Callithrix jacchus: one gene and its partners. The protein of the gene in region 1 interacts with the protein of each later gene in a biochemical or structural test. Links are inferred from orthologs where the notes say so. Each region holds a gene or a part of one and is shown in the gene's direction. Other genes may lie near its edges.

The links.
Region 2: the proteins of INSR (region 1) and GRB10 form a complex in vitro, tested with the Homo sapiens proteins (5 studies listed by BioGRID and IntAct). The link is inferred for Callithrix jacchus from reciprocal best matches to the Homo sapiens genes INSR and GRB10.
Region 3: the proteins of INSR (region 1) and TRIM72 form a complex in vitro, tested with the Homo sapiens proteins (2 studies listed by BioGRID). The link is inferred for Callithrix jacchus from reciprocal best matches to the Homo sapiens genes INSR and TRIM72.
Region 4: the proteins of INSR (region 1) and PTPN11 form a complex in vitro, tested with the Homo sapiens proteins (2 studies listed by BioGRID). The link is inferred for Callithrix jacchus from reciprocal best matches to the Homo sapiens genes INSR and PTPN11.
Region 5: the proteins of INSR (region 1) and STUB1 form a complex in vitro, tested with the Homo sapiens proteins (2 studies listed by BioGRID, with this or other methods). The link is inferred for Callithrix jacchus from reciprocal best matches to the Homo sapiens genes INSR and STUB1.

Annotation. Positions count from the first base shown.
Region 1 is NC_133523.1:6,881,271-6,885,521, reverse strand, and holds the start of INSR (insulin receptor), read left to right. Parts: upstream 1-1,444; 5' UTR 1,445-1,933; coding exon 1,934-2,033; intron 2,034-4,251. UniProt on the Homo sapiens protein: Receptor tyrosine kinase which mediates the pleiotropic actions of insulin.
Region 2 is NC_133512.1:17,936,539-17,940,048, reverse strand, and holds part of GRB10 (growth factor receptor-bound protein 10), read left to right. Parts: intron 1-254; coding exon 255-332; intron 333-1,270; coding exon 1,271-1,387; intron 1,388-2,608; coding exon 2,609-2,675; intron 2,676-3,049; coding exon 3,050-3,137; intron 3,138-3,510.
Region 3 is NC_133513.1:30,733,522-30,737,461, forward strand, and holds the start of TRIM72 (tripartite motif-containing protein 72), read left to right. Parts: upstream 1-1,138; 5' UTR 1,139-1,336; intron 1,337-1,765; 5' UTR 1,766-1,772; coding exon 1,773-2,162; intron 2,163-2,547; exon of another isoform or gene 2,548-2,679; coding exon of another isoform or gene 2,680-2,724; intron 2,725-2,971; exon of another isoform or gene 2,972-3,169; intron 3,170-3,344; exon of another isoform or gene 3,345-3,386; intron 3,387-3,645; exon of another isoform or gene 3,646-3,661; coding exon of another isoform or gene 3,662-3,931; exon of another isoform or gene 3,932-3,940. Other genes in the region: PYDC1 (pyrin domain-containing protein 1), read right to left, coding at 3,662-3,931. UniProt on the Homo sapiens protein: Muscle-specific E3 ubiquitin-protein ligase that plays a central role in cell membrane repair by nucleating the assembly of the repair machinery at injury sites.
Region 4 is NC_133510.1:115,365,475-115,369,498, forward strand, and holds the start of PTPN11 (tyrosine-protein phosphatase non-receptor type 11), read left to right. Parts: upstream 1-1,224; 5' UTR 1,225-1,431; coding exon 1,432-1,445; intron 1,446-4,024. UniProt on the Homo sapiens protein: Acts downstream of various receptor and cytoplasmic protein tyrosine kinases to participate in the signal transduction from the cell surface to the nucleus. Positively regulates MAPK signal transduction pathway. Dephosphorylates GAB1, ARHGAP35 and EGFR.
Region 5 is NC_133513.1:2,940,418-2,944,390, forward strand, and holds STUB1 (E3 ubiquitin-protein ligase CHIP), read left to right. Parts: upstream 1-1,169; 5' UTR 1,170-1,291; coding exon 1,292-1,450; exon of another isoform or gene 1,451-1,595; intron 1,596-1,889; coding exon 1,890-2,088; intron 2,089-2,173; coding exon 2,174-2,339; intron 2,340-2,406; exon of another isoform or gene 2,407-2,534; coding exon 2,535-2,622; exon of another isoform or gene 2,623-2,786; coding exon 2,787-2,843; exon of another isoform or gene 2,844-2,917; coding exon 2,918-3,034; exon of another isoform or gene 3,035-3,094; coding exon of another isoform or gene 3,095-3,116; coding exon 3,117-3,242; 3' UTR 3,243-3,493; downstream 3,494-3,973. Other genes in the region: JMJD8 (jmjC domain-containing protein 8), read right to left, coding at 3,544-3,624, 3,702-3,836, 3,914-3,973. UniProt on the Homo sapiens protein: E3 ubiquitin-protein ligase which targets misfolded chaperone substrates towards proteasomal degradation.

The DNA of each region.
Region 1 (4,251 bases):
CGATGAAGCCAGAAGTTTGGCCTTTTGCAAGAAGAGTGGGCCCAGCTCTGAACAAACTATTTCTTTAATAATGGAAGAACGGTCCAGGCGCCGTGGCTCATGCCTGTAATCCTAGCACTTCGGGAGACCGAGGTGGGCAGATCACAAGGCCAGGGGATTGAGACCGTCCTGGTCAACATGGTGAAATCCGGTCTCTACTAAAAATACAAAAATTAGCTGGGCGTGGTGGTATATGCCTGGTGGTCCCAGCTACTTGAGAGGCTAAGGCGGGAGAATTGCTTGAACCCAGGAGGCGGGGGTTGCAGTGAGCAGAGATCAAGCCGCTGCGCTCCAGCCTGGTCGATAGAGCAAGACTCAAATAAAATAAAAATAAAAATAAAGAGAATGAATGCCTTGGGTCTACGGTTGTGCTGTGTGCATTCTTAAGTTTTCTCCCTCGGGTACCTTCCCAGATCTGGTGTACAGGTATTATCAAACCCATCACTGAAGCAAGACTGGCCCGGACATAGTGAAGTAGCTGGTCCAAGACTACACAGGAGTGAGGGGTGGAGGAACCCTTTTCCCACTGAGTTCTGGCTTTCCTACACTGAAAGCCCCTTCCTCTCCTTCAGTATGGTGGGTGGAACCGCTGTCCCGCCTTGTTCGTGACTGACATTGCTAGACGTTCAGACACACACAGGCTGGTCTGCTGATAATCAGACATGTCCACCCTCTATTCGAGGTCTCCTGCATCGTCTTTCCCCTTTCAGAAGCTTCTGCACATTTTCCCAGGTGTCTTTCTCCAACTTGAACACAGGGAGCGCACTGGACACGCAGGCACGTGGCTGTCCCCAGGGGCCTGACTTGGGTCTTGCCTCTGGGTGGGGGCGCACGCGCGGGAGGGACATCTGGGAGCGTCCACCCGCTCTGGGACGAGTGTGTCTGGCCAGGCCTGGATGAGGGAAAGGCGGTGAGTGAACAACTACTCGCCTGAGGTGCAAAATTTAATCCCCCACAAATACACCACACATACAAAACAAAAAACAAAAACAAACAAAAAACCGAACCCACCTCGAGTCACCAACGTAAATATTTTAATGCAGTATTTTAAAATTATTAACAGAAATCCTCCAAAGCCCCACTCCGAACAAAAGAGCAAAATGGTAGAGAAAGGATTTATGTCGCTGGGTCAGGCCTGTGGGGCGCCTTTGGGGGCGTCTGAGGCTGGAGGAGACTCGGGCGGTGTAGAGCGCGCGGATCTGGGGCGGCCCCTCGGTCCAGGCGCGCCCAGGGCCTCCAGCGAGGGGCCCGGCTCGGGGAGGCGGGGAGGCGGGGCGGGGCCGGGCGCCACCTCCCTCCCCGGCCCCCCGCTTTCCCTCCCTTTCCCGGGCCTCTCCCGGGCGCACAGTCCCTTCCCAGGCCAGATCCGCGCCGCCTTTTCCCTCGGCCCGCAAGGGGCCCAGCTGACGGGTCGCCTTGTTTACGGCCCGAGCAGCCCTCACTCCCGCCGCCCGCCACCAGCCACTCGCCCGCCCAGGTGCCCGCCCGCCCTGCAGCGGGTCCCTCGGTCCGCGAGTCCCTCTGTCCCGGAGCCCGCCGATCGCGACCCAGAGTGCGCGGGGCCGAAAGCCAGGAGACAGTCCCGGGCGCAGCGCAGAGCTCCGGGCCTCGAGATCGTGGGACGGGGCCCGGCCCGCAGCGGCCGGGGGGTCGGGGCAGCTACCGCGGGGCCTCCCAGCTCTCTTTGTAGCGGGCGAGGCCGCGCGCGCGCCCTTCCCGGGGCTGCCTCTAGGACCCCAGATCTCGGGCAGGGGCGCTGCGGCCCGCGGATCGCCCGCGTGGAAGAGAAGGACACGCGGCCCCCAGCGCCTCTCGGGCGGCCGCCTTGCGGCATGACCCCCGCGGGTCCGCACCGCGCGTTCTGATCCGAGGAGACCCTGAGCTCCCCGCAGCCATGGGAGCCGGGAGCCGCCGGGGGGCGGCGGCCGCGCCGCTGCTGGTGGCGGTGGCCGCGCTGCTCTTGGGCGCCGCGGGCCAAATGTACCCTGGAGAGGGTGAGTCTGGGGGCGCAGGAGTGGGCGGGGAGCAAGGCGATGGGGAGAGGACCCCCCCAACCCGAGACAAAAGAGAGCCCTCCTCCCCCCACCCCGCTGGTGGACTGAGACCCCTTCCGAGGACGGGGGGCTGGGGTCGGTGGCTCGGGCGGTCGCTTCTGCTCCGCGTGCGGGGCGGGAAGCCGCTGACCTTGGCCTTTGCCCGCCCGGACTCGTGCCTCCGCGCCCCGCGTGCCCGACCTGAGCCCGAGGAACCTTGCCCCAGTGCCCGCCCCGCCGCGGGCGCCTCTCCGGATCGCCCCTGCGACCAGAGCCCCGGTCTCTCCGAGGCCAAGTCGCTCTGGAGACAACACACGCGTCCTCTCTGGGTGGCGGCTGCGAAGTGGGGTCACTCGGTCTGGGCAGCTCCGGACAGCCCATCCCCGGAGCGCATAAGGTGTAGATGGAGCCAAGTGCCCTGAGTGCCTCACTGGTGGGAGACGCTGCCTGGGGTCGGGGATTGTAGAACCCGCCCCCAGCTCCATCCCGATATCTTGGATCTAGGCCAGTGGCCACCCCGGACTCTAGGTCCATGGTTTCCCTTTTGGGTTCTGTTTCCAGATGTCCCGAGGCACATTCTAAAGCCTTAGAAACAGCAGCAATTGTGGCAGAAGTAGTGGCGTGTTTTTTTTTTTTTTTTTTTTGGCCATGTTTATTGTAATTGGTGTCACCACAGGCCACACGCTGGTCTATCTTATCTCTCTGGACTGTCACAGTGGCCCCGGGAAGCGGTTACAGTTATGCACCCATTTTACAGAGGAGTGAACTGAGGCTCAGGTAAAACGCATAGCTCCCTTGCCCTAAAGTCAGTGCCAGAGCCAGGACCTGAATCTCTCTGCTCCCTGTTCTGCCCAAGAATCTGGACTACTGTCCTTCACCTGCTGTTTCCTTAACGCCTCCTCTCCCCTCAGCTCTGCCCTTCATGAAAGAGCCTTTCATTCCCCCTGACCCCCACCGGCTCTCCCACGTGGGAGCAGCATCTTCCTTGAAGACGCCTTTGCGGTTGTAGAATGAAGATGGAGTAATCATTTAAGAGAATATAGCCTGGGTTTCCCACTGTAGGGTCTGAGACCCTGCTTTAAAAATATTTGTTGTGTCACTGTTGCAGATTTCTCCATAAAAGGAAATCAGTGGTGATGAGGAAGGGGTCGGAGAGGGAAGGAACTGAAGCTCCTTAATGTATTGAGGGAGAACGGGGTAGATGTGAAATCAGAGGTGCTGGAGTGGACCAACCGGGTTTGCGGAGTTGACTCTATCAATTACATAATGTCTAAAAGCCCCACCACCACCACCCCAGGGCCTGGCAGACAGCAGGTGCTCAATGAAGGGTGGCAGTTAGTTTGGGTTCTTGTTAAGAAAATCCAAGAAGAGTGGTTTAGAACTATGCCAGGCCAGGCATGGTGGCTCGTGCCTGTAATCCCAGCACTTTGGGAGACCGAGGCAGGCAGATCATGAGGTCAGGAAATCAAGACCATCCTGGCCTACATGGTGAAATCCTATCTCTACTGAAAATACAAAAATTATCTGGGCATGGTGACGCGCACCTGTAATCCCAGCTACTCTGGAGGCTGAGGCAGGAGAATCAGCCTGGGAGTTGGAGGTTACAGTGAGCCAACATTGCGCCACTACACTCCTGCCTGGGCAACAGAGTCTCCGTCTCAGAAAAAAAAAAAAAAGAACTATGCCAAATTCTGTGTGTGCCTATGTGTGGTTCCTTGCTCTTCTGTTCCTTGCAGCTTTGGTGATGAATTGTGGATCTGTGCCTGCGCTTTCAGGATCAGTAAATGGATTTGCCATTTATTTGCACAGTTATGGCTTCCTTATGGGCAGGGGTTTACGGTTTGCTGTTGTTGTCAGTGTTCACTTCTGCATTTCGAGAGCCCAGAACAGTGCCTGGCACATAGTAGGTGTTTGGCAAATATTTGGAGCCCAGGTGGTGGAATCCCTGGGTGTACTGGGTGCCTTTATTCGTAAGGAGTTCCTCATTCTCTGCTTAATACCTTTCTAAGAATTATAAGAGCAAGGCCTCAGCAGGTGCTGTTCTGTGTGCTTTGCATATATAATCTCAGTTAATCCTCACCACAAAACCCCACGAGGTGCAGTTTAATCGTCTCTTTTCACAAGTGAGAAAACTCCACTTGGGGCCAGCAGGCAGCAGGGCTGGCATTACAATCTAGCT
Region 2 (3,510 bases), on another chromosome or scaffold:
GCTGGTCAATAGTAGGCTACTAGTAGGTAAGTTTCGTGGGAGTCAAGAGCTCTACTCAGATTTTTTATTTCAAGGGGCGTCATTCCCCCTAACCCCTGCATTGATCAGAGTCAGCGGCACTCAGGCTCCTGGGCTAGGTCTGGGCATTGCTCCCTGTTCCACACTCAACTTTGCCCTTTCCTCCCGTGGCGTTTGTCAAGTGCCAGGCCTCGGGGCTCCTGGGCCGGTGACTGACTCTGGCTTCTCCCCTCCAGTATGGAATGCTCCTTTACCAGAACTACCGAATCCCTCAGCAGAGGAAGGCCTTGCTGTCCCCATTCTCAACGCCAGTGGTAAGTAAAGCTAGGACCTTCAGAAGTCTAGTACCTTTTCAGCTGCTACATCACGTGTTAAGGATGCCTCATTTTACACGAGGTGGGCAAGAGAAGCTCCGGAGGGTGTCTGCGCATTTCAGGGAAGCCAGTGCATGGCACAGTGATGTGGGTTTTGTAGTCTCGACAGTGTAACTTCAAGGAGCGAATCCCTCTGCCATCCTTCTCCCGTCCCTGCATCTCCCCTCTGGGTTTTGTAAGGAGGTGGCTCTCTTTAAGTGCTCAAAAAAGGCAGCAAGAGCTTTTGGTCCTTGTGGGGCCCTGCCTTTCCTACCTCTGGCTTTTGTTCCTTAAGCCTTGGGACCCCTGGGAGCTGCTGACTATCACACTACAGTCATGCCCTGGTAAAACTTGAGAGATTGTCATCATTCCTCTTATGTTCTGGGCACTCTGCTTCTCAGAGGGGCAGAAGCACTTCATCATCTCAAAATACAGTCCTGAGGGTCCTTTAGTGTCTGCCCTGTGAGATGCCCAATGGTGCCACAGAAAGAGTCCACGAATTTCCCTGAGCCCCCATCCCCAGGGGAATGACTTTGGGGAGGCCTAGGCTCACCCCGGCTGTTGGCTGTTTGTTTCTTTGCTGTGTTGGAGTAAAGGTCAGGAGCCAGTGAAGGACCACACAGTCCAACCCTGGGCGTGCCTGGGGCACAGCAGCAGCCTTTAATGCTCAGGGAGGACTAGAATGTATCTCATCCTTCTTAAGAAAAACCAAAGAGGTTTCTGAATTTTCAGCCTGAACCAGTGAATTTCCCACCTGAAACTTGGGAAGATGAGGGGTGGAAAGTGGGCATTCCCTGCTTTCCTTTCCTGACTATCCTGATGACTGTCAGAAATTAAGCCAAGACTCCGCTTTGCCTTAATTTCCTGTGTTTAAAGAACCCGTGGCCTTTCCTTTCCAGCGCAGTGTCTCCGAGAACTCCCTTGTGGCGATGGACTTTTCTGGGCAAACAGGACGCGTGATAGAGAATCCGGCGGAGGCCCAGAGTGCAGCCCTGGAGGAGGGCCATGCCTGGAGGGTAAGGTCCTGGCCCTGGCCAACCCGGGGGGGGGGTGCCCTCGAGGTGGTAGCCTCACCATGTGGTCTTCTCTTCTCCCAGAGGAATGGCCCTGTGCGGGTTGGCAAGAGGGGTGGCATGTTGGGTGAAGGGCCTCTGAGTTTTCAGCTGCAGGAAGCAGTCGGCCCTTCTAGGCCCCTTCCTCGTTCCCAGCACCCAGCCTTCCCCCACTGCTCCCTGGTCCTGTGGGCTTTTGTGAAAGGGACAGGAGAGGACCAGGGCCCTCTGCCACCCTGGCTCCCGTGCAGAACTGTTCTGTTGATGAATTGGCAGTGGCTGTCTGTAGGGTGCACAGGCCCCGGGCCTGAGTGGAGCCAGCAGGCGTTCACATCGAGGTGTGCTATTAACAGCCTGCACCCCCACCTCTGAGGCTCAGGTTCTGAATCTCCAGATGGGAAGAATATCAGCTTCCAAGCTCCTGAGACTTAAAGGCCATGTGCAAAACAGGAGCCTGGAATCTGGCATTTTCTGTAATTCCCATCAGGGGATGGGAAAAGTAGGAAGTCCCAAGCATGGGGAGTCCAGAGCCCAGTGTTTTGAGAACTGCATGAATTTAGTAGAAAGGCTCAGTTGGGAGTGGTGGCTATATCTAAGCACTTTGGGAAGCCAAGATAGGTGGATCACACCTATAATCTAAGCACTTTGGGAAGCCAAGATAGGTGGATCACGAGGTCAGGAGTTTGAGACCAGCCTAGCCAATATAGTAAAACCCCATCTCTACTGAAAATACAAAAATTAGCTGGGCATGGTAGTGTGCACCTGTAGTCCCAGCTACTCAGGAGGCTGAGGCAGAAAAATCACTTGAACCCGGGAGGTGGAGGTTGCAGTGAGCTGAGATCATGCCATTGTACTCCAGCCTGGGCGATAGAGTAAGACTCCATCATGTGTTTCTCCTGAAATTTACCAGGATATTCATGGCGTTTTCATCATATGTCTTCAGTGTGAGAAATAAGCATCTCTACTTTGATACTGGGGCAGCTAGCAATATCTCAGGGTGTTATTAACAACTGGGAACCGTAAGCTCTTTGTTCTCAGGGGTCAGCGGAGGCTTCAGATGGGGCAAGGGCCCTTGTGAGCCCAGTCAGGCACCCTACCTAGTGCCCTGTCCTGAGCTTGGATGTATTGGGTGACTTGGTATGTCTGTTTGCTGTCCTCGGTGCTAATATGGAATTTCTTTTGCAGAAGCGAAGCACACGGATGAACATCCTAGGTAGCCAAAGTCCCCTCCACCCTTCTACCCTAAGTACAGGTAAACAGGGCACATTGCCTGATGTTTTTGTCCATTAAAAAGTCAGGCCGGGCGCGGTGGCTCACGCCTATAATCCTAGCACTTTGGGAGGCCAAGGTGGGTGGATCACCTGAGGTCAGGAGTTCAAGACCAGCCTGGCCATCATGGTGAAACCCCATCTTTAAAAAAAAAAAAAAAAGAAAGAAAGAAAATCAAACAGCACCCCCCTCCGCTCCCCCTGAGCCTTATGAATTTGCCTGTGCACAGAGTGTACCACACACGCTGTAGCTGGGGGAGTCGGGGGCTCTGCGTTGATCAGAGTTGGTTGTGCTGTCAGGGAAGCCATGCTGTGGAGGCACCGCCATCCACCCGGTCCTTGTCTGTTCCCTCCACAGTGATTCACAGGACACAGCACTGGTTTCACGGGAGGATCTCCAGGGAGGAATCCCACAGGATCATTAAACAGCAGGGGCTCGTGGACGGGTGAGGAACCACCACTGATAAGAGCTGTCGTCTGCTGAGGTTTTGTTGTGCTGGGGTCTGTTTTGTTGAATTCCTCAGACGTCCTTGGGTAGGCAGCAGTTTTGCCCTGATTTTAAAGAGGAGAAAAGGTAGGCCCAGAGGTATACGGGGTATGCAAAGCTTGCCCAGCTAGTAAGGGGCGGAAAGGGATCTCATCCGCATCTGCTCAGACTGTATCCAATTATCCTTCACCTCTAGATGAAATCTGAACAGGTGGAGAACACAAGTTAGTTGTTTTACCTTCATAAGATAGTGGGAAAATGGGGGAAAAAAATGCTTTGCCTACACTTTTTGATTTATGCACTATATGAAGTTGGTTTGCACAACAAATAGC
Region 3 (3,940 bases), on another chromosome or scaffold:
TTTTTTTTAATAATTTCAACTTTTCTTTTTTATCTTTATTTATTTTCTTGAGACAGGGTCTCACTCTGTCACCCAGACTGGAGTGCAGTGTACAGTCTCAGCCCACTTCAGCCTTCGCCTCCCAGGTTGAGGTAATCCTCCCACGTCAGCCTCCTGAATAGCTGAGCTCACAGGCATGCACCACCACACTAGGCTAATTTTTTTAGTATTTTTTGTAGATACTGTGTGTGCAGGCATTGTGAACTTTTATTTATTTATTTATTTTTAGATGGGCCACCACACCTGGCTAATTTTGTATTTTTAGTAGAGATGGGGTTTCACCATCTTGGTCAAGCTGGTCTCAAACTCCTGACTTTGTGATCTGCCTGCCTTGGCCTCCCAAAGTGCTGAGATTGCAGGCGTGAGCCACCTCATCAGGCCAGTTGAGTTAATTTTTGTATGTGGTAAAAGGTAGGGTCCAGTTTCATTCCCTTGCATGTGGCTAGCCAGTTATCCCAGCGCCACTTAAATAAAATTTCAGTTGAGATTTGAAAGGTACACATACAGGAACCAGGGCCGAATTGAGTTCTGGGCTGCAGGCTGGATTCCGTTCATTCACTTATTCAATATCTCTCTATCAGTCATTCTCCAAGCATTTAGAGAGACCTTCTTTGTCCCAGGGCTTGTTCTGGGTGTACTGGAGAGACCAATGTGGAAAAGACCCTCCCCTCAGCTCTGGAGGAGGAAAACATTTCAGGGTGGGGTGAGGTCCTGCCCTCCTGCAAGTGGGGTAATCCTGCCAGAGTGGCCTTGGTCAGCCATAAGCTTGGGGAATGAGTGGACCACACGCTGGAGAGGGGCTGTGGGCAAGAGGAAGGAGCTGGAGAGTGTAAAGGTGGGAGTGGGGAGAGAAAGGGGAGACCCTCCCCTCAATTTTCTGTTTTTTTTCCATGGTGTGAGAGGCCCTGTCTCCCTGCTGGCTCTGAGCTCTAGCTCCAGGCTGGTGCGGAGCAGACAGTGGATGGGCCAAGACAGGTGGACCTGGCATGTGATACGTGCCCGGGGACGACTCAGCCCTTACTTTTAGAACGGTTTCCAGAACTGATGGGAGGGATTGGGCAGGGCAGCTAAATATAGTCCAGGGGCCTGGCTTAGTCTGGGAGGGTCTTCCGCTGAGCACTGTGTGCCCATCACGCCGAGTATCCACTGCCAGCTGCCCCTGTGAGTCCCCGTCCTTGCTTGGAGCCTGCTGCCTGTCTCAGATCCTTGGACACAGCCCTGACCCCGGTCCAGCTAGGCCCGACCCTGACCGGTCCTTCTTCGAGTCTCTTTTGGCCTAAGATCTCCAACCAGACCTGTGAGTCCCGGGGACTGGAGAGACGGGGGCGGGGAGGGCTGGGGATCGTGGTAAAGTGGGAGAGGGGAGTCTCGGAATGGGGGTTCTAGGGAATTTGGGGCAGGGGCTGAGGTCAGAGGGTGGGGCCTGGGGCTAAGGCGAGGGCAAGGACAGTGGGCTAGACCCTGGGGTTGTGTTCAGGAACTGGGGTTGACGGATAGGGTATATTTTTGGGTCTGTACTGAGAATTGCCATGGAGGCTGCTTTTGGGCCTGAGACCGAGTTCGTCTCACCCGGGCCGTCAGAGCCCCATCCAGTGTAGGATGTGCGGTCTTTACAGGCTGGTGCTTCTCCCTGCCGGGCGGCGGGGCCCGGCCTTAGGCTGGGGCTGGGGCTGGGCCGGGAGCGCGGCGCCGCGGGGTCCCCCTAACCGACTTTTCATCCACCCAGGTCCGCCATGTCGGCTGCGCCCGGCCTCCTGCATCAGGAGCTGTCCTGCCCGCTGTGCCTGCAGCTGTTCGACGCTCCCGTGACAGCTGAGTGCGGCCACAGTTTTTGTCGCGCCTGCCTGGGCCGCGTGGCCGGGGAGCCGGCTGCCGATGGCACCGTTCTTTGCCCCTCCTGCCAGGCTCCCACGCGGCCGCAGGCACTCAGCACCAACCTGCAGCTGGCGCGCCTGGTGGAGGGGCTGGGGCAGGTGCCGCAGGGCCACTGCGAGGAGCATCTGGACCCGCTGAGCATCTACTGCGAGCAGGACCGAGCGCTGGTGTGCGGAGTGTGCGCCTCACTCGGCTCGCACCGCGGCCACCGCCTCCTGCCCGCCGCGGAGGCCCACGCGCGCCTCAAGGTGCGGGACCCACGCTCATCGGGGTCGGAGGGGTTGTTCGGTGGCGCCGGGCCTGGTCAACGGGGAGGTCGCTGCACTGACTTGGATTCTGAGCCGCTAGAGAGGCTACCGAGCACCTACAGTTGCGGGAAGCGGGGGCGGGGCGAAGCAGCCTGGAAGGAGGGTCTGAGGAGCCGAATGCGGGGCTGGTAGAGGAAAGCCGCGCGGGGACGAAGCCTGGCCAGAAGGGCGCTGAGCAAACCTAGGTTTCCGGGCCTGAACCCCTCGAGGGACCGGGAGATGGGTGGGCGGATCCCCGGGGCGGGTCTGATGGGCGGGGCGGAGCCGGGCGGAGCGAGGACTGGCCAGCGGCCCAAGTGGTATTCTTGCACCCGGTGGGCGGGTCGGACTGGCTCCCCGCGCGGCGCTGGGGGAGGAGCGGCGTTCGGGAGGGAGCCAGGCGGCCGGGGCGGGGCTGTCCTGATGTCCTCAGCGGAGGCCCACGCGCCCCTGAAGCTGCGGAACTTGGGCAGGCCTGATGGGCTCCAGGCTGGCCTTACCGGAAGGGAGGCAGGATGGCCAGGTACGCCGGCCTTTGCACATGTGGGCGCGGGCCCAGCGGGCACCGAGAGCTCCACCCAGGATGCTTTTCTGGGTGTAGCTGGAAGTCCCGAAAGCCTCGGGAGCCCACGCAGTTGTGTGCGCCAGGACATACCCAGCAGAGACACCGAGACACAGGCAAATAGAGACGCGTGCACACCGGCTAGGGCGTGTAATACGTGTGTCAAAGCACACGCGTGTATCTACTAGCGGACACGTGCGCGCGCAGCCCCAGGAAAGTCTTCCATGAATGTTTATTGGGCAGTGGAAGAATAAACGCCAGGTATAGGGCTGGAGGAGGCGAGATCTGGAGGCACGGAGGCGTCCTCGGTCTCCGAGGTTGAGACTCTGCCATTGTTTTCCGCCACTGGTGCGCGCGCGGGGCTGGCTTTACCAGCGTTGCACTGCTCCTCCCCTTGGCCCGTATCCTAGAGGGGGTAAACCACCATCCTTTCGTTGGTATTCGAGGCCCCCATACTTCCCAGGGGCCCAGCCTCTCAGTCCCGCCAGCTCCTGCCTGGCCTAGTTCTGCTCAGTCCTGGCTGGTGGTCCCCTAGCTCAGGGCAGGAGCCTCCTCCCAGGAGCCTTCCCATCCCAGCTCACCTGTGCTTATGCCCTGGAACTCCCAAACTCGTCCGTCTTTATCTGCGAAGAGAGCACAGAACCCGTGAAACAGAACAGGGCCCAGGCAGCCCAACAGCCTAGAAAGGGGCTGTGGGGCAGGATGCAGCCCCCCTGGGGCTCTCGGCAGGCCGGCCCTTCGCCACCGGGAGGGGCTGGCTGGAGGTCTGAGGGAGGACCCCAGGAGGGAGCCTGAAGGAGGAGGAAGACCGGAAGGCTCTGGGCGGGACCCAATCCCTGGGTCCTTGGTGAGGAAGCAGAGTTGGGTCCCGAGACCACGCACCAGCTCGGAGTGGCCCTCACGCGGCCCGCTGCAGCCGCTCCGCCTCCTCCTGCATGCCCATGTCAAGCAGCACGGTCACGACGAGCTTGGTTGCCTGGTCCTCGCGGTAGAAGGCGACCAGCTTGTCAGTGAGGTCCACGATGTCCAGCTGCCCGAGCACTCCCCTCGGGATGCGCTGAAAGCCCTCGCACAGCGGCACGGTCCCCAGCTTCATCTTGAACTTCTTGAGCTCCTCCGGGGTCAGGTTCTCCAGCACCTCCAGGATGGCGTCGCGCTTCTTTACCATGGCTCAGCC
Region 4 (4,024 bases), on another chromosome or scaffold:
CATGGGTTAAACTTATGGCTCTGCCATTCACTAAATCTGTGCCCTTTATTTATTTTTGAGAAGTAGTTTAGCTCTGTTGCCCAGGATGGAGTGCAGTGGTGCAATCTGGGCTCACTGCAACCTCTGCCTGTCCGGGTCAAGCAATTCTCCTACCTCAGCCTTCCGAGTAGCTGGGTCTACAGGTGTGCGCCACCAATCTCCACTAATCTTTTTATTTCTAGTAGAGACAGGATTTCACCAAATTTGCCAGGCTCGTCTTGAACTCCTGACCTCAAGTGATCCATTCTTCTCGGCCTCCCAAAGTGCTGGGATGGCGTGAGCCACCATACCTTGCCTGAGCAGTAGCACGATCTCGGCTCACTGCAGTCTCAACTTTCCAGGCTCGAGTAATCCTCACCTCAGACTCCGGAGTAGCTGGGACTACAGGTGCGCGCCACCACGCCCAGTCAATTTTTGTATTTTTTTTTGTAGAGATGGGATCTCACTATTTTTACCGGGCTGGTCACTAACTCCTGGGCTCAAGTGATTCGCCGGCCTCTGGGATTTCAGGCGTGCGCCATAGCGCTCAGCCCAAAGTATTTTTTTTTTTTTTTTAAGGCAGGGTCTCGCCCTGTCGCCCAGGCGGAAGTGCAGTGGTGTGATCACAACTCACTACAGCCCGGACTTCTCGGGCTCAAGTGATCCTCCCGCCGCAGCCTCCACGCCCGGTTAGTTTTTTTCTATTTTTTTGTAGAAAAGATGAGGCCTCGCTTTGTTGCCCAAGCTGTCCTCGAACTCCTGGGCTCAAGCGATCCTCCAGCCGCAGCCTCCCAAAATGTTGGGATGGTGGGCCTGAGCCACCGCGCCCGGCCTACTATCTTTATCTTACATAAATAAATAATGGAGGAAACTGAGGCTCGGAGACAGTAAGTAATTTCCCTAAGGTTCCATCCACAGCTAATGAGAGGAGCGGCGATTTGTGGAACGAAATGAATGAAATCGATGTGGCAGCGGGCCCGAAAGCGCCGGGTCGGTGAAGCCGCGTAGAGGCGGAGCGCACAGCTCACACCCGGTGGCCGCGGTTTTCAGGAGGAAACGTGGGTGCTTTGGTCACTGCGCGTGGCGCCTCCGCGGAGACCCCGCGCTGCCATTCTCGGCCGTCGCTCAGTTCTCGGCTGACGGGAAGCAGGAAGTGGCGGCGGGCGTCGCGAGCGGTGACATCACGGGGCGACGGCAGCGAAGGGCGGGGGCGGAGGAGGAGCGAGCCGGGCCGGGGGGCGGCTGCACAGTCTCCGGGATCCCCAGGCCTGGAGGGGGGTCTGTGCGCGGCCGGCTGGCTCTGTCCTGCGTCCGGTCCCGAGCGGGCCTCCCTCGGGCCAGCCCGATGTGACCGAGCCCAGCGGAGCCTGAGCAAGGAGCGGGTCCGTCGCGGAGCCGGAGGGCGGGAGGAACATGACATCGCGGAGGTGAGGAGCCCTGAGGGGCCCGGCTCGGGCCTCGGCCCGGCCCCCGCCGCGCTCTGTCAGCCCCGTCCGGAAGGGGGCGCCCCGGCCGGGCTTCGGACTGCCGTCCCGGATCGGGTTGGGGGCAGGTTCCCTCCTCGTCCCCTCGCCCTCCCGGGGCCGGAGGCCGACCCCACCGCGCCCCGACCCCTCGGGTTCCCATTCATTTCCTGCCTCCCCGAGTTCCGGCTGCGGCAGCCCGGGGGATGCCCGTCAGGCCCCGGGCAGGTAGAGCCGCCGAGGGAACCACGGGCGCCGGCGGACCGGCTCAGCGCCGCATTCCTGACCCATTGCCTCATGAGAATTGCCTCATGGTGATTCCGAAATAACTGCTCACTTGGGGAGGCTCCTTGGGACATGAGAGGGGAGTTGCGTGGGGCCGGACCCCCAGTGGTCTAGCCGTTTTGGGTCACTGTGCCACTTGCGTGCATTTGGGGACTACGCAGGACCCCTGAGGCTTTTACATGCCCCTTTGTGTCTTCTTTTTCTCCTACCCCTCACGTGCCAGAAATGGAAAAACTGACTGTATGTGCAGCCACTAGAAGTATTTCCTTCCTCTGCGATCTTCGCTTTGGGAGATGAAAAGGAAGGGAGCCACATTCTCGTTATTTAATCCTTCACTGCAACCTTAAAGTCAGGTCACTTTACTGGTACCCGTTTTATGGATGAGGAAACCGAGGCCCAGAAGTTACGTGCTGTAAATGACAAAATTTGAAACTAAGGAGGATTAGTGAGTTAATGAGATCCTTTGAAAGGTCAGGGTAAATATACTACTAATAGCTAACATTTGCTTAGTTCTGGCGGCCCTATCAGATGGCTGTTATCCTCATTGTAAAGATGAGTAGGCCGAGATTCAAAGGTTAAGCAAATTGCCTCACAGCAAGTAGGTGGTGGAGACAGAATCCCTACCTTTAATCAGTATGTTGCTTCTATTATTTTGTAACTATTTGTAAGCCTTAATTTTGTTGTCAAACAGTGGTGTGACCTGTTGTTTTCAGATAATGATCCTGTTATTTTGTGTGGTCACTGTATATACCACCACACTTAAGACCCATTATCTATTCTTTTCCATGGTTGTTCAATTATGGTCACTGTCATAGACATTTAAAAAGCGATTCAAGCTATTGGGGCTATTTGAATGAGACTTTTCAAAATATTAGGAATGCCTCCTCCAAACACACCTGCCATGTTATTCATACATGGATCTGAAGCTTAAAAAGGGGAGAAAAAAGAAAACTGAGAACTGGTTGGAAGTGAGTGACTTGGACAGGTCTGTTGGCAAGTGTTTACAGATCTGGGTAATATATAACTGCATTTCAACAGAACAGTGTGTAGCCTCAAATGTTCTAATTCTTTAGGGAGCTTTTAAATAAAACAGTTGTCTATTCTTTAATCTGTCAAATAGTCATTGAGCCTTTTGTTCCTGGTGTCTGCTCTTCCAGACAAGTAAGGATCTGCTGCTTTAGGAGACAAAAAGAAAGGGGGCTGGGGGTTGGGAAAAGGTCTGGGGAGTAATAGACCCTACATTGTCCAGTTTGTTGGTTTAGAAGCAGAGAAGTGTGGGCATAGTCAAAGCAGCAAGTAAATGGTAAAGATGACAGTTTGAAAATGGAGCAATGACTTCTCCCCTCCAGCCCTGATATTGTGTACCACCCAAAAAGCCAGATTATGAACATAATACATATAATTTTGAATGATTTATTTTTTTTGGATTGTGAATCTGTTTTATTTGTTAAGCAGCCTTAATAAGGTATAAATGACATATGATAAATTGCATATATTTAAATGTACAATTTCATCAGTTTTGGCATACATATACACTTGGGAAACCATCACCACAGTCAAGATAATGAACACATCTACCATCTCTCGTGATTTTGCCTCGTGTTCTTTATAATCCCTCCTTTGTTCTTAGGCTTTCTGTCACTATATATTAGTTTGCATTTCCTAGAATTTTATTTTTTAAAAATTTTAAAATTGTTAGAATAGAGATGGGGTCTTGCCGTGTTGCCCACGGCAGTCTCAAACTCCTTTGTTCAGGTGATCCTCTCACCTTGGCCTCCTGAAGTATTGGGATTATAGGTATGAGCCACCCTGCGCAGCCCTAGAATTTTATTTTATTATTATTGTTATTATGATGGTTTTTTTGAGATAGTGTCTCACTCTGCTGCCCAGGCTGGAGTGCAGTGGTGTGGTCACTGCAGCCTTGATTTCCTTGGCTCCCTCCCTCCTCAGCTTCCCAATTAGTGGGGCTACAGGTGTGTACCACCACACCTGGCTAATTTTTGTATTTTTTTTGTAGAGACAGGGTTTTGCCATGTTGGCCAGGCTGGTCTCAAACTCCTGTGCTCAAGCGATCCTCCTGCTTTGGCCTCCCAAAGTGCTGGGATTATAGGCATGAGACACTGTGCCCGGACTTCAAATTATTTTAACCTAGTATTAATTCATTCAACAAGTAGTTAATGAGCCAGGTAGGATAAAGCAATAAATAGGGATATATTGCTGTTTTCGTGGCTGAGAGAGAGCAAACAAACACATGACTA
Region 5 (3,973 bases), on another chromosome or scaffold:
CCAGGTCAGGATGCCTGGAGTGGTGGACCCTCCAGGAACCCCGCCCCACGACAAAGCCCCGCCCCCACGAAGACACGCCCCTAGGAGGCCCCGCCCACGAGGAAGCACCGCCCCACCGACGCCACTCCCTGAAGACCCGCCCTACGGAGGCCCCGCACACGAGGAGGCGGGGCCGCACCCCACCGGCAGCCTCTAGACTAACAGCCGTTCCAGCTCCCTTCGCGTCACGTGCTTCTCCGCTCGGCCCTTGATGGCCGCCAGCAACTCCTCCCGTTACCTGGAAAAGGGGGTGAGGGGAGGTCCGGCCACGGGGACACTCGCCCCACGGATCCCTTTATCTCTTACCAGTCTACCAACGGTCCACGGCTTCCAGCCGCTCTCGGGGGCCCGCGCGCGCTCGTAGCACCTTTCGGTGGCATTCCAGGATGGCAGCCCAGCAAGCCGCTGGGGTCCCCACAGCCCCAGAGCGCGTGGGAGGCCGCCATGTTACGTGGAGGGGAGGGGTCGGCTCTCAGGGGCGGAGCCTCTGCGGAAGGGGCCGGCTGCTGGGGGCGGGACCTCTGCAAACGGAGTCGACCCCCCCCCGAGGGCGGGGCCGGCTGCCAGGGGCGGAACCTCTGCAGACGGGGCTGACTGATGGGGGCGTGGCCGGGTGCTGGGGGCGGGGCCTCCGCCGATGGGGGTGGCTGCGGGGGCGGGGCCTCTGCCGATGGGCCAGGTGCTGGGAGTGGGGGCGGGTGCCGGGGGCGGGACCGCCGCAGATGCGGCCTGTTGTTGGGGGCGGGGCGGGCTGCTGGGGGCGGGACCTCTGCAGATGGGGTCTTTACGGGTTGGGGCAGGGGCGGAATCCCACGTGGGCGGGACAGGCTTTTAGGGAAGCACGCCCTCAGCGAACCAAGGCTGAGGCACCTCACGGAGAAAACCGGATATATGGGACGGCCGCCACCGAGGCCAGTTCTGGAGAGGCCTCGGCGGGGCGGGGCGGGGCTGGCCTCCGCGAATGCCGACCCTGAAAAACGCGGGGCCAGGGAACCGGAGCGTTCCTCGCAGCCAGCTACGTCGCGGGCCGACTGTCCCCGCCCAGGCTGGTTGGGCGCACGCGCGGCCCTACCCGCCCCCCGACGCCTGCGTCCCCGCCGATCCCGCCCCCGGCCGGAAGTTCCGGCGGCGGAGCTGGGCCGGGCCCGAGCTGATCGTGGGCTCGGGCTGCAGGGCTCGGGCTCGGGCTTCGGGTGCAGGGCCGTCAGGCGCGGAGCTTGGGAGCGCAGCCCAGGCCGTGCCGCTCGGCGCCATGAAGGGCAAGGAGGAGAAGGAGGGCGGCGCGCGGCTGGGCGCTGGCGGCGGAAGCCCGGAGAAGAGCCCGAGCGCGCAGGAGCTCAAGGAACAGGGCAACCGTCTGTTTGTGGGCCGAAAGTACCCGGAGGCGGCGGCCTGCTACGGCCGCGCGATCGTGAGTGCGCCCGCGTGGGGAAGGCGGCGACGGCGAGTCGGAGGGCCACGCCCGCGATCGGCCGGCCCCGCCGAGGGTCTGGCTCCTCCGCGGCGGGTATCCTGGGCTCCGAAAGCCCAGCATTGGTTCTCGATCCCAGCGCCAGGTGCCGGGGAACGAGGGTGGGATGCTAGATGGAGGCCGGCCGGGTGGGTGGGAGGCCAGGGTCCAAAGCTGGGACTCTCCAAAGATTTGGAAAACTCTACAGAACCAACCGGAGTGAGGTGTGTAGGCTCAGCCAGTAGTCCCGTGTCTGCAGATCCTTGGACCCAGAGGCTTTGGCTACTGAGAGGTCTAGGTTCTTGATCGTAGCCAGATCGCAGAAGCTGGGACGGGCCCTGGGACAGAGGGGGCGCGCTGAGCCTACGCCTGATGCGGCTGGCCCGGCCTTGGTCCCTAGACCCGGAACCCGCTGGTGGCCGTGTATTATACCAACCGGGCCCTGTGCTACCTGAAGATGCAGCAGCATGAGCAGGCCCTGGCCGACTGCCGGCGCGCCCTGGAGCTGGACGGGCAGTCTGTGAAGGCGCACTTCTTCTTGGGGCAGTGCCAGCTGGAGATGGAGAGCTATGATGAGGCCATCGCCAATTTGCAGCGAGGTTGGCCGACAAGCTGCCTGGGTGCGGGGCCCCTGGGACCAGGCGGTTGGACTGGCCAGCGTGACCGGAAGCCCTTGTTCCCCAGCCTACAGCCTGGCCAAGGAGCAGCGACTGAACTTTGGGGACGACATCCCCAGCGCTCTGCGAATCGCGAAGAAGAAGCGCTGGAACAGCATCGAGGAGCGGCGCATCCACCAGGAGAGTGAGCTGCACTCCTACCTTTCGAGGCTCATTGCGGCGGAGCGTGAGAGGTGGGACCCTTACCCCAGGCCGCGCTGTCTGGGGATAATTCTGAATAACCAACCGCCAACACGAATGTTTACTGAAAGTTTTACTGGCGAGCAGTGCATGTGGGGAAGAAGCCTGGATGTTAGCCCTGAGTCTGGGGTGTGGTCAGACATCTTCTGGCCAGGTCCGTCTCTGACGGGCTCCTGGTCATCCCCCAGGGAGCTGAAAGAGTGCCAGCAGAACCACGAGGGTGACGAGGACGACAGTCACGTCCGGGCCCAGCAGGCCTGCATTGAGGCCAAGCACGTGAGGGTGCCCCCATCCACATGTGGGTCTGTGTGTGTGCACACGTGGCACGGGAGCGTCCCCACCCTGCTGTGGGTCTGTGTGTCCCTGCCTCGTGTTGGGTCTGGGTACCACGGAGGAGGGAAGTGGGGTGTCCCTCCCAAGCACTGCTCAACTTTCCACAGGACAGATACATGGCGGACATGGATGAGCTCTTCTCTCAGGTGGATGAGAAGAGGAAGGTGAGTGCTGCTGTGGGTGGTAGGTCCTGGAGCAGCCCCTTCCCAGCCTCTGACCCTGTGCCCATGTGCCACAGAAGCGCGACATCCCTGACTACCTGTGTGGCAAGATCAGCTTTGAGCTGATGCGGGAGCCGTGCATCACACCCAGTGGCATCACTTACGACCGCAAGGACATCGAGGAGCACCTGCAGGTGAGGCTGGGGCCAGGGGGTGGGCAGGGCCAGCAGCAGGGTCCTAGGCTTGCTGAGCAGCCTCTGCCTCTTGTCACTGCAGCGTGTAGGCCATTTTGACCCTGTGACCCGGAGCCCCCTGACGCAGGAACAGCTCATTCCCAACCTGGCTATGAAGGAGGTCATTGATGCATTCATCTCTGAGAACGGCTGGGTGGAGGACTACTGAGCTCCTCGCCCTGCCCAGTGTCCTGGCCCCGGAGGGCCACGGGCAGAAGCCCCCAGCCCCTGTACATAGCTTGTGTCCCTGGCCACCCTTTCCCTTCCCCCCAGTTCTGCTGTTGGGCTCTGGACGGCTCCCCTCTCAGCATAGCTCTTGCTGGGCTGTGATCCTCCCCGTCCCCCATTCTGGGCTGGAAAAGCAGGTGAGGGTGGGCTGGGCTGCGGCCACCGTCTGTGTAATAAAATCCGTGAGCACAAGCTGGGGAAGAAGTGCTCTGTGTGACAGGAGTGCCTGCCGGCTGCCACGGCTAGCCAAGGAAGGTAGAGATGAAGACGCTGGTGTCAAGGTTGAGTGTGGCGTGCCACCAGCGGTCGGGGAAGTACAGCACCTGGTGAAGGAAGGGGGTGCAGCCGAGATCAGCTGCGGGCCTCTGACCTGGCCCGGTCCCTCCTGCCAGCCACTGACCTCACCAGCCTGGATGGTACACTCCAGGGGCCGTGCAGACGGCGGCAGGGCTGGGTATGTGTCCCGGAGCCAGGCCAGCGTGGTCTTGTTGGGGTGGAACTCTGGCGTCTTCTCAGGTGGGTAGAGGAACCAGCGCTGTGGGCAGGGGCAGCAGCGTCACCCTTGCCCACTTGGGTCATCCACCCAAGCCCCGACACCCACCCTGGGCTGACCTTACGGCCGTAGATCACCTCCGAGTACCCAGGCCCGTGCCAGTGGAAGGGCACCCCCGA